Linked DNA regions of Saccharomyces cerevisiae S288C. The main gene of each other region encodes a partner of the protein of the gene in region 2 in a complex. Each region holds a gene or a part of one and is shown on either strand. Other genes may lie near its edges. The genes, in order: RET2 and GCS1. A codon is read from its position in the direction of its gene.

Region 1 (4,262 bases), on a different chromosome or scaffold from region 2:
GCCAAGGTGGGAGACGAATACGTAACACCTAGAAGATTTACGTATCTTAGGAATTGATCACCATTAGACTGTACACCAGCAACAATGATGGCATTCCAAAGTGGATTCATCTTTGATCTTCGCTGGTACATGACGGTAGCTAGATATTCAAAAATATAGCTGGGTTCGAGCGCTTCTTCAGCATCCGCTAGAGGATTGTCATACGCATTTTCAGTGACTAGATCTTTCAATAATCTCTCAATGTGTTGCATATCAGAAATATCACCTGAAATGCCCACAACGGTGTTATCACCCACGGGAATAAGCCTCTCCACGCCATTGAATCTTAGAAGAGAGCCATATGAACCTAAATTATCTGCTGCAATGATAACCCCATTATCATATTTCATTGATATGACGGAAGTACCTGTTACTATTGGTTGCTGTGTATTAACCATGGGAGAGGCGCCTGCGTTCGCAATTTGTGTATTGTAAGCACCATAAGTAGAGTCTGCGGGCCTGCCCCAACTGAAAGGATCGTGATTCATTCGTGTGGGTTTTTATGTTGTTTTCGGCGGAAGATGAAGGATTCCTGCTGCTTATCCCCTTTCTTAACTTAGCTGTACTTTACTATGTGGGTACGTATTTAAGGTGGCAAATTCTAAACCAAGAAGCTGGAACATCTTTAATAAAAAGGATTGACGGGTAACCCTAAAAGGAAAAATAATAAAGAATAAGAGTAAGTTAAACTATATATATAGAAGGACGAAAGAAAAGATACCTCGATTTTTATTTATTTAGTTTGTGTATATAACTTAAGTATTTTATATGTGAATGTAACGTACTATTGGACAAGATATTCATCTGATTTCAAAGAGGTGATGACGTCGTAAGGGAGCTCTTGATCGTGGTCATTGGCCATGACAACAGATTGTATGGCCATACCGGTGAAACTCTTAGCTAATTTATCCCTCGTGGACTCTTGGAAGGAAACGGTCATTGGGTACAATGCATCTTCATATGGAGCTTCGATAGTGAATGCTAGCGCACCTGCATCGTTGGCAGCAATTTTGCTAATCTTAATGGAGGTTCCCATTTCTTGGTCCATGTTGACAACTTCAGCGTCAGAGCATGTAGAAGACTCTGTATTTATGTCTACTGGCTCCTGAGGGAAAACTGGAATGGTGAAGATCACATCAGCGAGTTCTGTTTCCAGGACGCTCTCATACTCAATAATGACATCAAAGCCCTGTTGTGATTCGGAGGGGGAAACCCATGTAGTTAGAGTTAATGGAATTAATGAGTCATCTTCTGCGGGAGCGACTTTACGCCATCTTAGAACACCCAGGCTTTGGTCGTTGGCTGGGAAAGCCTTAGATTTATCACGCAGGGAGATAAGTTTAGTGGATAGGAACGATTGTTTATCTATGTTTGGATGGGTCTTAAACTGGAAGGATTTATCGCGAACGTCAATAGAATCAGCTAGTTTTAGGTTCGAGTGAGATAAGTCATGGTCATTAATTCTTAGTTCTAAAACACCTTTCAATTCAGAAGAGTGAATGGTACCATCTCTGGAGAATTCTGCATTGATTACCTCCTTGATAGAGATCAAAATACCATTGTTCTCTGGGACATCCTCCTCCGGAGGAGGTGGAGTGCCAGAAGAGGCTGAAGAAATTGCACTTGGCCGTGGTGCGGCACCCGCTCTTCTTCCGGCACCACCACCCAATTTCATACCGCCAGTAGCAGAATGTCCCGCACGCTGAGACGTAGCCATTGGGGAGGCCACTGGGGCCACCTCAGCAGCAGCGGCATGGGAACTTTGTAGATAAGACTGTTGTGCTGCAGGAGAAGCATGGGAGTAGTAACTGTTGATGGCGTTTGTAACGTTAGGATCTTTACTTCCCATGAACCTATTGGCGCCGTCGTAATCGCCATTTGAAGACATAAACCCGTGTTTCCTTTCATGTTCTTTTCTAGCAATTTCCTTAGCACGGCGCTTCCTCTCCTCAGTAGCTTCGATCTCTTTATTACGCTCAATAATTTCCTGGATTCTTTCTTCGTGCGACTCCATAGACAAGTATGTTTGCACTTGAGTAAAGGACAAGTTCTCTTTGTACCCGCCCATTGACACGATTTCGTCGAACGAGGACAAGATCTCAAAGGCATTGTGAAAAATCTCTTGGTCTTGGAAACTAGACAAGTAGGAGTTGATCGTCTGTGAAAACAGATTTAATGTGGCCAAATCCTTGATAATATTGGACTGGCGGTTTGTGATAAGAATAATGTAGTAGTTATCAAAGGGCCTATACACGTAGCGGACGTGCTTGTCCTCGACAAATGTGTGGTCTGACGAGATCTCGGAGACTAGGTTCTGGAAATTGGACAGCAACTCTAGGACTCGATCCTTGGACAGATCTTTGAATTGCCTGGACAAGAGAGGTTTCCCCTGACGCGTAGTGATAGAAGCAGCCAAAACCACCATTGTGTATTTCTTTTGATGGAGCTATAGGTATTCTAATATGATCTATATTCGACGCTGAGGCTAATTGCCCTTGTTCTTGAGGTGTCAACAACCAGATTTTCTAATTTTTCGCTGGCTGTTGCTGGAAAAATGTAAACGCGCAGGGCGGGTAATAATAAAAGTTGAACTATGAAGAACAATAGAAACGCCAAGGTTTACTGACAGAGACATGTTTTAATTCAAGTGATGAGGCGGAAACGTGCAAGATCCTAAATGAAGGATAAAAAGAGTTCTTAAAAAGGGAAGTAAGGAATAACAGAGTAGAAAAACCGAAAAGACAACTTAACAAATCGGCAACACTTTTATGGGGCCCCGCTCGCCTGTGTGCAAGTAGTATTCGACCTGGAACACGCATTTACCACGAGAAGACAGCAATAGTCCGTACAACATTAATTAGTTTCGACAATTGCTCGCCTTTATAAGCCATGCTAGTGCCCAATCAAACACTTTACTTGCCCTGAAGTTCCTTTTTTCGCTAGCCTGTAACTTAAATAAGCCATCTAACCTTTTTTTTCTAAAAATTTTCTTTATTACCCTGTCGGCTTATTTTCTATTCTACACATTATTTGCCACCCATTGAAATTGTAGCTTGTATTAATAGGGAAAAGCCGGAAGTATAACCGGTGGAAAGTACTATTGAAGTGAGATAAGAAGCCATCGTAATGCCCTCGTTAGCCGAATTGACCAAGTCGTTAAGCATAGCCTTTGAAAACGGCGATTATGCCGCGTGTGAGAAGCTCTTGCCCCCTATCAAGATCGAACTTATCAAGAATAACCTTTTAATACCTGACTTATCCATTCAAAATGACATCTATTTGAATGATTTGATGATTACTAAAAGGATCCTGGAAGTAGGTGCCCTTGCTAGCATCCAAACTTTCAATTTTGACAGCTTCGAGAATTACTTCAACCAATTGAAGCCTTACTACTTTAGCAACAATCATAAATTATCTGAATCTGACAAGAAATCGAAGCTGATAAGTCTGTATTTGTTGAACTTATTGTCTCAGAATAACACAACCAAGTTTCACTCGGAATTGCAGTATCTAGATAAACATATCAAGAACTTGGAAGACGATTCACTTTTGTCTTACCCTATCAAACTAGACAGATGGCTCATGGAAGGGTCGTACCAGAAAGCATGGGATCTTCTGCAATCTGGGTCGCAGAATATATCAGAATTCGACTCTTTTACCGATATCCTAAAATCAGCTATAAGAGACGAAATTGCTAAAAATACCGAGCTATCCTACGACTTTCTCCCTCTCTCCAACATAAAGGCTTTGCTCTTTTTCAACAACGAAAAAGAAACTGAAAAATTTGCACTAGAGAGAAACTGGCCTATTGTCAACTCGAAAGTTTACTTCAATAACCAATCAAAGGAGAAAGCTGATTACGAAGATGAAATGATGCATGAAGAAGACCAAAAGACAAACATTATCGAAAAAGCAATGGATTATGCCATAAGTATTGAAAATATTGTGTAATATTTGTATATATAATATGTGCACAAAATTACTACAAAATAAACAACTTTTTCTCTCCCGGAGAACAAAGTAAGTGGAAAAAATTATACTAATAACAATCTAAAAATGTTTATTAGCTAGGATTATACACATAAATATATATATATGTGTGTGTCTATATTTACATATACTAGACCGCAAAAAAAACATAAGGGCATCACTCATAAGAATAATAATATTAAGGGAGGGAAAAACACATTTATATTTCATTACATTTTTTTCATTAAGCGCCA
Region 2 (3,589 bases):
TTTCTTTGGTTTGCAGAAATATCATTAAAAAACAATCCATAACTACTAAGGAAGGGTATAAATGGTTTGGTTTACTAATTTTATATTTTGATTTGATTAGCAATTATAATCTCTAATATACTATTTCTGTAGCCAAAAATCTGCAATGTCAATAAGTAGCAAGTGCCGCTTACTCGTGAGAATATCAACCTTATAGCATATGTTTTCTATTTTTTTTTTTTGCTTATGGAGATAATGAACATTGTACACATGAACAAAGTGGTAGTTCTCTCTCCTTGATTTTTTGTGCTTGCGATATATATAATTGTTACATTCAATGGCCATGCTAAATAAAGGTTTTAGCTTTGTTTCACTCGTGCCCAGGATAATTTTAAGGCGCAAACATCCAAATAATGAAGAAAAGGATAACGATTGTCCCAGGTCTAAAACATTTTTTAATAATAGCCGTCATTAGCCTTGCAACAGTACAACAACGCCGATGGGAAAGGATTGCAATTCTATTTGTAATTAATAGGTTGTATAATAATTTACGATATGGCCTTGTGGTAACTATTTATGAATACTGGTGTAGACTTATTTATAATCCTAGAGAGTAAACCTCTTCTTGTCAAGATATGAAAAATACAAATTTAGAGACAGAAGTATTACGTGTAAACTTTACAGAACCACTTCTCCATTATAGCTACAATGTGAATTGAACTTTCCTTGAATGTTGAGAAAAACTATATTAAAATTAGAAATCGTCCCATTTGTCCTCGTCCTGTTCATTCTTCTTATCGTTATTATCAATCTTTTGATATTCTGTATGGGTTGTATTCCCTGCTGTAGAGCTATCCTCTGCATTACCATTGAAATTTTTAGTGAAGTTACTAAATGCTTGGAATCCATAACTACTCGTTTCTTGAAACTTTTGGCCAAACTGGGCAGCTGCTCTCTTCGTTTCTTCTGACAACTCTCCGGATTGCCATTGCTGGACGTGAGGCTTAATAACCGTTTCGTTTACGTCCTCGAACGATTTGGTTACAGCGCTGGAGAAGAGGCCCCATCCTCTGCTCAATGTTCCCAAAGGATCAGCTTGAAAATTTTCCAGGCTCAAAGTATTGCTGGACCCTGCAGACCGTTCTTGTGGAGGTTTTGCGGGTGTACTTCCAAAGCCCTGATATTTACCACCTTGAGAAGGGGGCAAATGATCTGGTCTAGATTGGTTCTTCTTGCCCAGCTCAGCAAAATAAGCTTCGTTCTTCTCCTTTTGAAAATTGGCACCATTACTAGAGTTTGCTGGTGTTGCAGATCGACGGTTCTCCAGTGGTGTCCCTTCTCGACTTTGAGCAACACCAGGCGTAGCGGATGCAGCGGTTTGAGAGGTTGCTGATAACTTGGAAGCATCAAAATCCAAATGCTCACGCTCTTCAAATACTCTATCTTCGCAAAGACATGTTAACTTTTCTTTATAATCCTCTGCGACGGGGTTATCGTATTTCACTTTTTGTGGTAAACTCAGGTCAATATTATGCGACTTGAACCATTCAGTCAAAGGTTCGTTACCACCTTTTTCCATACGAAGAAGTTCCTCCGGTTTAAACTGATCCATAGTGATAGATCTTACAAAAGATATATGCACACCAAGCCCTCTATGGATACCGGCACATTCAAGGCAAATGAAAGCTCCAAACTTAGGCGTGGCCCATTGTGGATTTGGCGCACCACAATCCATACATTTCTTATTTGCACCAATCTTTTGCAATTGCAAAAGACGCCTGCGGGTATCTGGGTCCACTTTCCAATCTGACATGCTCTATAATCCGCGATAAAATTGCTCAATTGGCACCATTTAAACTCAGAATCACGTCCATATTTCTGCTTTCATTCTTGATATAGTTGTGCAATTTGGTTCTTGACAAAAACTGGCGTTGCTTGCGGGTAACCGCGCGATTTTTAAAGTGCCAAACTGCGAAAAGAATATAACAAGCTTTCGAGCAAGATCAATGTACCCAGCAAGTGAAATAATAAAACAAGAGCCCCAAAGATCTGCTTATAATTGCTAGAAAAATATATTATTAATCATGAGCACTGCTTCAACACCGCCAATTAACTTATTTCGTAGAAAGAAAGAACATAAACGTGGGATCACATACACAATGTTACTATGTGGGCCAGCAGGTACAGGAAAGACCGCCTTTGCTAACAATCTATTGGAAACTAAGATCTTTCCGCATAAGTATCAATACGGTAAATCAAATGCTAGTATTAGCTCTAACCCAGAAGTAAAAGTTATTGCTCCGACAAAAGTTGTTTCATTTAATTCGAAAAATGGGATTCCATCTTATGTTTCTGAATTCGATCCAATGAGAGCCAATTTGGAACCAGGTATTACCATCACCTCCACTTCATTAGAACTTGGGGGCAACAAAGATCAAGGAAAGCCAGAAATGAACGAGGATGATACCGTGTTTTTCAACTTGATTATGACGCATGGTATAGGCGAAAACTTGGACGATTCGTTGTGTTCTGAGGAAGTTATGTCGTATTTAGAACAACAATTTGACATTGTTTTAGCTGAGGAAACCAGAATTAAAAGGAATCCGAGGTTTGAGGACACCAGGGTTCACGTAGCATTATATTTTATTGAACCCACTGGACACGGTCTGAGAGAAGTCGATGTAGAGCTCATGAAAAGCATCTCCAAATACACAAATGTACTGCCAATAATAACAAGAGCTGACTCATTCACCAAGGAGGAGCTAACTCAATTCAGGAAAAATATTATGTTTGATGTGGAAAGATACAACGTCCCAATTTACAAATTTGAGGTTGACCCTGAAGATGATGATTTGGAATCCATGGAAGAGAATCAAGCCTTGGCATCCTTGCAACCATTTGCTATTATAACTTCAGATACCAGAGATAGTGAAGGTAGATACGTTAGGGAGTATCCGTGGGGGATAATATCAATCGACGACGACAAAATTTCGGATTTGAAAGTTTTAAAAAACGTCCTGTTTGGTTCTCACTTACAAGAATTCAAAGACACCACGCAAAATTTGCTTTACGAGAATTACCGTTCCGAAAAACTATCGTCCGTGGCCAACGCTGAAGAAATTGGTCCTAATTCTACAAAGAGACAGTCAAATGCTCCAAGTTTAAGCAACTTTGCCTCTTTGATAAGCACTGGTCAATTCAATTCTTCTCAAACTCTTGCAAACAATTTGAGAGCGGACACACCAAGAAACCAAGTAAGTGGAAACTTTAAGGAAAACGAATACGAAGACAATGGCGAACATGATTCAGCAGAAAATGAACAGGAAATGTCTCCCGTGAGACAGTTGGGTAGAGAAATAAAACAAGAAAATGAAAATTTGATAAGATCTATCAAAACAGAATCTTCACCAAAATTCTTGAACTCTCCGGACTTACCAGAGCGTACCAAGTTAAGAAATATTTCAGAAACCGTTCCATATGTCTTGAGACATGAAAGAATTTTAGCAAGACAACAAAAACTGGAAGAGTTAGAGGCCCAGTCAGCTAAAGAATTACAAAAAAGAATTCAAGAATTAGAAAGAAAAGCACACGAATTGAAATTGAGGGAAAA

Evidence for each region.
Region 1: the proteins of GCS1 (region 2) and RET2 are in contact, whole or in part, in a crystal structure (PDB 5FJX), measured with the Saccharomyces cerevisiae proteins. Residues at the interface, in NP_010055.1 of Saccharomyces cerevisiae: Lys348 (codon at 751), Trp349 (codon at 748), Asp350 (codon at 745), Phe352 (codon at 739); in NP_116709.3 of Saccharomyces cerevisiae: Lys348 (codon at 1,423), Thr349 (codon at 1,420), His350 (codon at 1,417), Pro351 (codon at 1,414), Asn352 (codon at 1,411), Leu366 (codon at 1,369), Lys371 (codon at 1,354), Ala372 (codon at 1,351), Phe373 (codon at 1,348), Pro374 (codon at 1,345), Ser379 (codon at 1,330), Leu380 (codon at 1,327), Gly381 (codon at 1,324), Val382 (codon at 1,321), Leu383 (codon at 1,318), Arg384 (codon at 1,315).

What each region holds. Positions count from the first base shown.
Region 1 is NC_001138.5:249,340-253,601, forward strand, and holds RET2 (coatomer subunit delta), read right to left. Parts: upstream 2,465-4,262; coding exon 824-2,464; downstream 1-823. Other genes in the region: PRE4 (proteasome core particle subunit beta 7), read right to left, coding at 1-527; proteasome regulatory particle lid subunit RPN12, read left to right, coding at 3,166-3,990; HXK1 (hexokinase 1), read right to left, coding at 4,253-4,262. UniProt on the Saccharomyces cerevisiae protein: The coatomer is a cytosolic protein complex that binds to dilysine motifs and reversibly associates with Golgi non-clathrin-coated vesicles, which further mediate biosynthetic protein transport from the ER, via the Golgi up to the trans Golgi network.
Region 2 is NC_001136.10:50,382-53,970, forward strand, and holds GCS1 (GTPase-activating protein GCS1), read right to left. Parts: upstream 1,793-3,589; coding exon 734-1,792; downstream 1-733. Other genes in the region: septin SHS1, read left to right, coding at 2,064-3,589. UniProt on the Saccharomyces cerevisiae protein: GTPase-activating protein (GAP) for ARF1 and ARF2. Involved in intracellular vesicular transport. Required for transport from the trans-Golgi network.